Linked DNA regions of Macaca fascicularis. The protein of the gene in region 1 binds, or shares a complex with, the protein of each later gene. Links are inferred from orthologs where the notes say so. Each region holds a gene or a part of one and is shown in the gene's direction. Other genes may lie near its edges. The genes, in order: SIRT5 and PRDX1.

The links.
Region 2: the proteins of SIRT5 (region 1) and PRDX1 are in contact, whole or in part, in a crystal structure (PDB 8Z54), measured with the Homo sapiens proteins. The link is inferred for Macaca fascicularis from reciprocal best matches to the Homo sapiens genes SIRT5 and PRDX1. Residues at the interface, in NP_001363727.1 of Homo sapiens: Ala86, Tyr102, Arg105, Gln140, Ile142, His158, Val220, Val221, Trp222, Phe223, Gly224, Glu225, Asn226, Leu227, Leu232, Val253, Val254, Tyr255, Pro256; in NP_001189360.1 of Homo sapiens: Phe195, Ser196, Lys197, Gln198.

Annotation. Positions count from the first base shown.
Region 1 is NC_088378.1:159,375,270-159,379,177, reverse strand, and holds the start of SIRT5 (NAD-dependent protein deacylase sirtuin-5, mitochondrial), read left to right. Parts: upstream 1-1,504; 5' UTR 1,505-1,701; intron 1,702-1,842; exon of another isoform or gene 1,843-2,005; intron 2,006-2,045; exon of another isoform or gene 2,046-2,202; intron 2,203-3,908. UniProt on the Homo sapiens protein: NAD-dependent lysine demalonylase, desuccinylase and deglutarylase that specifically removes malonyl, succinyl and glutaryl groups on target proteins.
Region 2 is NC_088375.1:189,199,007-189,202,866, forward strand, and holds the start of PRDX1 (peroxiredoxin-1), read left to right. Parts: upstream 1-971; 5' UTR 972-1,033; intron 1,034-1,354; exon of another isoform or gene 1,355-1,519; intron 1,520-3,860. UniProt on the Homo sapiens protein: Thiol-specific peroxidase that catalyzes the reduction of hydrogen peroxide and organic hydroperoxides to water and alcohols, respectively.

The DNA of each region.
Region 1 (3,908 bases):
TCATGCTGCTATAAAGACACATGAACACGTATGTTTACTGCAGCACTATTCACAATAGCAAAGACTTGGAACCAACCCAAATGTCCATCAATGACAGACTGGATTAAGAAAATGTGGCACATATACACCATGGAATACTATGCAGCCATAAAAAAGGATGAGTTCATGTCCTTTGTAGTGACATGGGTGCAGCTGGAAACCATCATTCTCAGCAAACTATCACAAGAACAGAAAACGAAACACTGCATGTTCTCAGTCATAGGTAGGAATTGAACAATGAGAACACTTGGACACAGGAAGGGGAACATCACACACTGGGGCCTGTTTTGGGGTGGAGGGGGAGGGATAGCATTAGGAGATATACCTAATGTAAATGACGAGTTAATGGGTGCAACACACCAACATGGCACATGTATACATATGTAACAAACCTGCATGTTGTGCACATGTACCCTAGAACTTAAAGTATAATAAAAAATAAATAAAACAAAAAGAAAAAAAGAAAGAAACGAGCATTTTCAGCTGTCTACTGTTTAAGAAAACAATGAACTCTCAGTTTTGCCCTCTGAGCGATTTCTCCAGGACTGCCCTAGTTAACACTACTATTCAACAGTTTTGTGCTTTGAGCAGTTATTTGACCTCCCTGGCCCTCAGTTTCCCCACCCATAAAGTGGGGACAACAGTACCTATTTCATCAGGTGGTGGGTATGATTTAAATTGGTTAATAATGTGAAGTTCTTAAAAGTGTCTGGCTCAGAGTAAGCACCATACACGTTAGGGGAAAAAAAAGCAGCGGGATGTGAGGCCCTCCCCAATTTCGTTACTCCATAAACCCCTAAGTTGCTGGTAACACCTGCAGGAGTGAGAGGGGCTTCAATATGGGCTGAATTTCCAGCCAAACTGTGGAAAGTGGCTGAGATTTTAGGTAGGCAAAAAATGTTAATGTAACATTTTTGGCCCCCAAGTTCTCAGACCACTTACTTCCCTTTCTAGTCCATTGACATGCCCGCAAGCAATTCCATTCTGCCAAGAGGTGCTGGTGGTAAGCCCAAATCCAAGAAAAGGAAAGACTCCGATTTTAAGGGAACGGGGACCTGCGGAGCCACTTGAGTCACCGGGGCTCTCAGCTCAGCAGTCAGAGCGCACTCATCACTGCGTTCGAGGTTAGGTGGGCTGGCCTGGGAACCAACTCACCATCATTTGAAATCGTTTCAGGGAAAATGACCCCAACACTTAAAATCCTCTGTCCTGAAGTTGTGTGATCCAGCTGTTTGCTGAAAGAGGAAGCAAAGCCGATAGTAACTCACTACATATTTGGGCAGTGGAATGAACCCTGGAAGGTGACAAAGACGAAGAAAGTCACCGCGCCTCTTCCGACCCGCCGCCCCCTACCCCTACTCCCACTCCCACCCCCACCCCCACCCCAAATAAAGCACAGACAATCCTTCAATTATAAAGACAACCCCGGCGCCCGGGTCTCCGGCAGGGGCCGCTGCAGCCGAGCAGAACGCTGAGCCGCTCCGCCCCGCGGCCTCCTCTCCAGCCGCCGCGCCCGCCTCCTGCAGGTGCGTCCTTGCCCGCGCCGGGCCCGGGTCTCCGAGGCCTCTCCGGCTCTGGCTCCAGCTACTGGGTCCCGACCGCGCATTGCTCTCTCGGGGTTGCGCGCACAGCCCAGGGCCGGCCGCGGGCTGGCGGGCGGAGGTAGCGCTGGTCCGCGGTGCGCATGCGCAGCCCGGCCTCTGCCCTGCGGTCCTGGGCTGGTGATTGGGTAGCGGTTGGAGGAGGGGATGTGGGGGATGGTGGGTGGGTACGGAGAGCTGGGAGGGAGGCACCCCGGGGGGCGGGGCGTGGGAGACTGTCTTCGGGGGCGCGAGCTGCCCCAGGTGAGCCGTGCCTCAGGTCGGGTGCGCGGTCAGGACAAAGCGCCTCTAGGAGAAAGCCTGGAAGGCGCGCTCCAGGGGGACCCCGAGCTCTTAGCGGGCCGGCAGCACGTGCGGGGCCCAAGGTCATCCGGGCTCTGCGTGGGGTCGTTGCGGCTGGAGATCAGGGAGGGGGCAGGAAACGGAGTTGGAAAGTAATCCCACCCGAGCGGGTGGGCCTGCGAGGCCGCTGTGCTGGGGAGCTCCACGAGGGCTCCGAACAGAGCCTCCCTTTTCAGAAAGGTCACCCTGGTCACTGCGGCAGCCAGGATGACCGAGGAAGGTGGCCGGGGTGGAGGCAGTGGGCGTGGAGAGGGGTGGGATTCCGGACGTAGTTTGAAGGTCGAGCCGTCGGGATCTACTGAGCAGCTTGGCTATGGGGCGTACGAGAAGGGAAGGCTCAGGGCCTAGTCCCTGGGCCCGAGTAGCAGCCGGGAGGATGGTGCCCCAGTGCTTCGGGAGGAGGAGGCTTGAGGACGGCTCTGGAGCTCAGGCTTGCCCGCGTGGAGTGGAAGCTGCCTCTTGGACCCAGGGGGCGGGGAGGCCGCATGCAGTCTGGAGCGCTGGGAAGATGGGAGATCCAGAGAGGCAGGGCTGGAGGAGTAGGAGGAAAACCTGAAGGGGGTGGCGCCCGGAAACCCGGGAAAGTGATGAACTGGGTCAGAGGCCGGCTGTCAGCAGATAGGAGGGTGGAGACGACCTTGAGGAAAGCAGATGATGGAACGGGCGGGAGTGGGGCCCCTTAGTAGAGACACCTGGGACTGATGTATTGCATTTATTTAGCTCATAGGCGTTCAAAAAGTATTTATTCGGAGGCTGTACAACTTTTTGCAGTTCATTGCATTATACTTAGCATGTATTATGTTTTATATAAATATGTAAATATATATTTATATATTTAATATTGACAAATTTATATATAGGGTACAATGTAGTGTTTTGATATACGTATACATTTGTAGAAAGATTAAATCAAGCTAATTGACATATCCATCACCTCACCTACTTATTTTTTGTGGTGAAAATCTACTCTCCTGGAAATATACAATACGTCATCAACCGTGGTCACGATGCTGTGCAGTAGATCGCTAAAACTTAGTCCTCTTATCTAACTAAAACTTTGTATCCTTTGACCAACATCCCTCCCTTCCCCATCTGCCCTCCCCCAGGCCCCTGGTAACCATCATTCTACTCTGCTTCTATGAGTTCAACTTTATTAGACCCCAAGTATATAAGTGAGATCATATGCTATTTGTCCTTCTCTGCCTGGCTAATTTTACTTGGCCTAATGCCCTCCAGGTTCATCCACGTTGTTGCAAATGACAGAATTGCCTTCTGTTTTAAGACTGTATAGTATTCCATTGTATATATGTGCCACATTTTCTTTATCCCGTCCTCAGTTGATAGATACTTAGTTGCTTCTGTATCTTGGTTATTGTGAATAATGCTGAAAAGAACACAGGAATGCAGATATCTCTTCAACATACTGATTTCAATTCCTTTGTATATATACCCAGAAGTAGGATTTCTGGGTCATATGGTAATTCTATTTTTAGATTTTTGAGGAGCCTCCATACTGTTTTCCAAAATGGCTGTACTAATTTACATTCCACCAACAGTGTACCAGGGTTCCCTTTTCTCCACGTTCTGGACAACACTTGTTGTCTTTCATCTTTTTTATAATAGCCATTCTAACACGCGTGAGGTGGTAGCTCAGTGTGATTTAACTTGCATTTCCCTGGTGATTAGCGATGTTGAGCATTTTTTCATGTATTTGTTGACCATTCATATGTCTTCTTTTGAGGAATACCTGTTCAGGTCCTTTGTCCATTTTTTAACTGGGTTATTCGTTTTGTTTTGCTATTGAGTTTCTTATATATTTTAGATATGAGCCCCTTATCAGATGCATGGTTTGCAAATATTTTCTCCCAGTCTGCGGATTGTCTCTTTACTCTGTTAATTATTTTCTTTGCTGTGCAGAGGCTTTTT
Region 2 (3,860 bases), on another chromosome or scaffold:
GGCGGGAGAATCGCTTGAGCCCGGGAGGTGGAGGTTGCAGTAAGCCTACACCGTGCCACTGCACTACAGCCTGGGCGACAGGGTGAGTGAGACTCGTCTCAAAAAAAATGTGGAATACAACAAACTTTCGTTTTAGGAACTAGACTTTAGATTGCAGATCTAGTTACAATTGACACGTCCTTGTTTTATGGGAGGCTACATACTTTAAAGGTTTCCAGGGTAGCAAATAATTGTGATTTTGTGTATGTGTGTTTGTGGGGGGTAGTCATCAGGAAGTGTCTGAGGCCTTTTGCCTTACTGTGTAGGTCTGGCTAATGTGTAATATTTTGACTCAAGATTGTAAAGTCAAGTTATTCATCCGGGGAAAGGATGGTCGTGTAGCTGAATCAGCGTCCTAAACTGAACTTTCCCTTTGGCATAAGTTTAGGAGTCCTGATATTTTATTTTGCTTTACAACAGAAAGCAGCAACCCTGTAATCAAAGAGAACAATGAAGGAAGCTATCTAACCCATGAGGGTTACTGAGGATCTGCGCTGGGGTTAAGGCTGCTTAACTTAAGAAATATTCGGACAGACAGTTCTCATGGCTTGGTGTGGTTAGACGTGGTCATCCGTGGGCAGCAGCTAGGACGCTTACTCCGGTTTGGGCATTAAGGGCACAGTGCGTAGTGGTCCTGGAAGTAAAGGGAATCCTGGTTTTTCGCAGAGACCTTGGATTAACCTAAGCGTTTGGGTTTGGGAGCGGCCACAAGAGCGCCTCACTCCAGCCTCAGCCATCCGCAGCAGGGAGAGGTATTAGTATTTCCGCGCCCGCCCCCACGAGGAAAAGCGCCGAGTCATTCCGGTGGGGCGCGCCGGGCGGGGCTCGGGCCACATCCCCCTCCTCTTTCTTCTCTTCCAGAACCCCTGGTCCGCTCCGACTCTCGCGAGAGCCCTACTGGCTATAAAGGCAGCGCCCCGGGCGGATTTTGCGCGTTTTGTTCTTGCCTGTTTTGTTCTTCCGTGGTGTTGATCTGTGAGTTGTGTTAGGACTGGTGAGTGTGGGCAGCGCGGCCTCTGCGGAGTGAGGCGCGGCGCGCCTTTCTTGTCTGTTGCCTCTTCCTTCTCCTGTCCGGGGCTCGCCCGCCCTTGGGTGGGGGTACTGTGATGCGTGAGGCGGCCGGGGGAGACCCGGAGCCCGAGACTGCCTGAGCGCTACGCGCACCCCTCTCATGGGCCCCCCACGTAGGTGCGGGGACGTGGGACCCCAAGGCTAGCGTGGACTCGAGTCGAGTCGTTCCCCGGCAACTTGAGCACGTGGCGCGGCGTCTGGGCGGGCTGGTGGTGGGGTCTCCAAGACTAGCCTCCTGTCGGGCGGGGTGGGTTCGGGAAGCTTCTGGAATGGACCTGTATCCGGACTCGTGGCTGTAGAAGACAGCCTGTATTTTTGTCCATCTTGTGATAGGGTAAATGCTGTTCCGGGTCCTGAGCCTTGACTAGCTGCGGAGCTTCGGGTACCCTTTCCCCGTCTTTATTTTCCTGTACGTGGAATGGAGTTAGTGATGAGCCCAAATGTCCCCGCTGAAGCACTCTTTCTGCTGGTACTTTACACAGTGCTGGGGAGGGACAGGGGTACCTGAAGTGGGGTTCAGGGGTGTGGCCCTCGGCACTGGGCAGATCCCCTGAAGGGGCCCGGCGCCGGCCTGAAGCAGCCTTTACCCCGAATTGGTTGGGTTTGGTACTTGGGAGCCACCTGGGAAAGTAGGATGGGACGAGAAGGCCATTTGGGGACACCAAGTTGCAGCATGCATTAGTTTTTGGTTTTTGTTTTTTGTCGTTAAAGGTGTTAAGGACTTTTTAAAAAACAGTTTTTAAAGAACTTTAGGACTTGGAAAAACTTTTAGACTGCGGCTCAGTGGGTTAAAACTCTGTTTTTTTTTTGAGAGAGTCTCGCTCTGTCGGCCAGGCTGGAGTAGCAGTGGTGCGGTCTCGGCTTACTGGGACAACCTCTGTCTGCCGAACTCAAGCAATTCTCCTCCCTCAGTCTCGCGAGTAGCTGGAATTACAGGCGTGTGCCACCAAGCCCCGGCAAATTTTTGCTGTTTTTCTTTTCTTTTTTTTTGAGATGGAGTCTCGCTTTGTCGCCCAGGCTGGAGTGCAGTGGTGCGATCTCGGCTCACTGCAAGCTCCGCCTCGCGGGTTCAGCCATTCTCCTGCATCAGCTCCTGAGTAGCTGGAACTGCAGACGCCGGTCACCACGCCCGGCTAATTTTTTTTTTTTTTTGTAGTTGTAGTAGAGACGGGGTTTCACCATGTTGGCCAGGCCTGTCGCGAACTTTTTTTTTTTTTTTTTTTTGAGACGGAGTCTTGCTCTGTCTCCTAGGCTGGAGTGCAGTGGCGGGATCTCGGCTCACTGCAGCCTCCATCTCCCGGTTTCAAGTGATTCTCCTGCCTCAGCCTCCGGAGTAGCTGGGACTACGGGCGCGTGCCACCACACCCGGCTAACTTTTTGTATTTTTGTTAGAGACGGGGTTTAACTATGTTGGCCGGGCTATTCTCGAACTCCTGACTTGAGGTGATCTGCCTGTCTCAGCTACCAAAGTGCTGGCATTACAGGCCAAGATCTCGATGCTTATCTTGGTGTTGATCTGGGTGAATCCTGCGCAACCTTCCTTTTCAGAAGTAAATTGATTCTTGTTCTACTTCTTTTCGCCCTGGGATATTAGCCCAGAAGTCAGGAACCCATTTGTGAAGGGACTTCTAGGGCTTACACAATACCTAAAGATTTGAAATTAAGCAGACGCCAATATCTTGGTCTTCCCGCGCCCCCCCCCCCACCCACCGGCTTTTTTTTTTCTTCACTGTATGGCCCAGAGTGAAAAGTCTCACTCTGTCGCCCAGGCTGCAGTGCAGTGGTGTGATCTCGCCTTACTGCAACCTCTGCCTCCCGGGTTCAAGCGATTCACCTGCTTCAGCAGCCTCCTGAGTAGTTGCGATTACAGGCATGCACCACCACTCTCGGCTAATTTTTGTATTTTTAGTAGAGACAGGGTTTCACCATGTTGGCCAGACTGGTCTTGAACTCCTGACCTTGTGATCCGCCTGCCTCGGCCTTCGGAAGTGCTGGGATTACAGGTGTGAGCCACCGCGCCCAGTGGTCTTGCCTCTTAAAAGTTGGACTGGCTGGAAGGGTGCGGTGGCTCACACCTGTAATCCCAGCATTTTGGGAGGCTGAGTTGGGCGATCACCTGAGGTGAGGAGTTCGAGACCAGCCTGACCAACATGGAGAAACCCTTTCTCTAATAAAACTACAAAAAAATTAGCCGGGTGTAGTGGCTAGCGCCTGTAATCCCAGATACTCCGGAGGCTGAGGCAGGAGAATCACTTGAACCCTAGAGGTGGAGGTTGCGGTGAGCCGAGATAGCGCCATTGCACTCCAGCCTGGGCCCCAAGAGCGAAACTCCGTCCAAAAAAAATAAAATAAAACAAGTTGTGTTAGTTATAGGTCGACCGTGTGCTGTCTTTGACAAAGCTACCTGGAGAAAAGTCAAATATGCTTCTGACGTTATTAAGGCAGGTGGAGGCACAGTAATGGGAAAGGTCAACATGACTATGAGCCAAACAAAAGTGTTTGTGGCATTGTGCATTTGGATTCTGGTTTGAGAGTCTTCACCTGCCTCCCTCTCTGCTTCTGTCTAATGAATAAGATGCCACTGCACTAATTATGGTTCAGAAAGAGTGAGAGGTTTTCTTAGTATATAAAGAAATTGCCTTGTCGTTTTTAAATGAAAACAAAGGCTGAGATTCAGAGACTTGTTTTGTTTCAAAAGCTCTGATTGTGACCCTTGACTGCTGGCCTGAGCTTCTTACTAAAATAACATT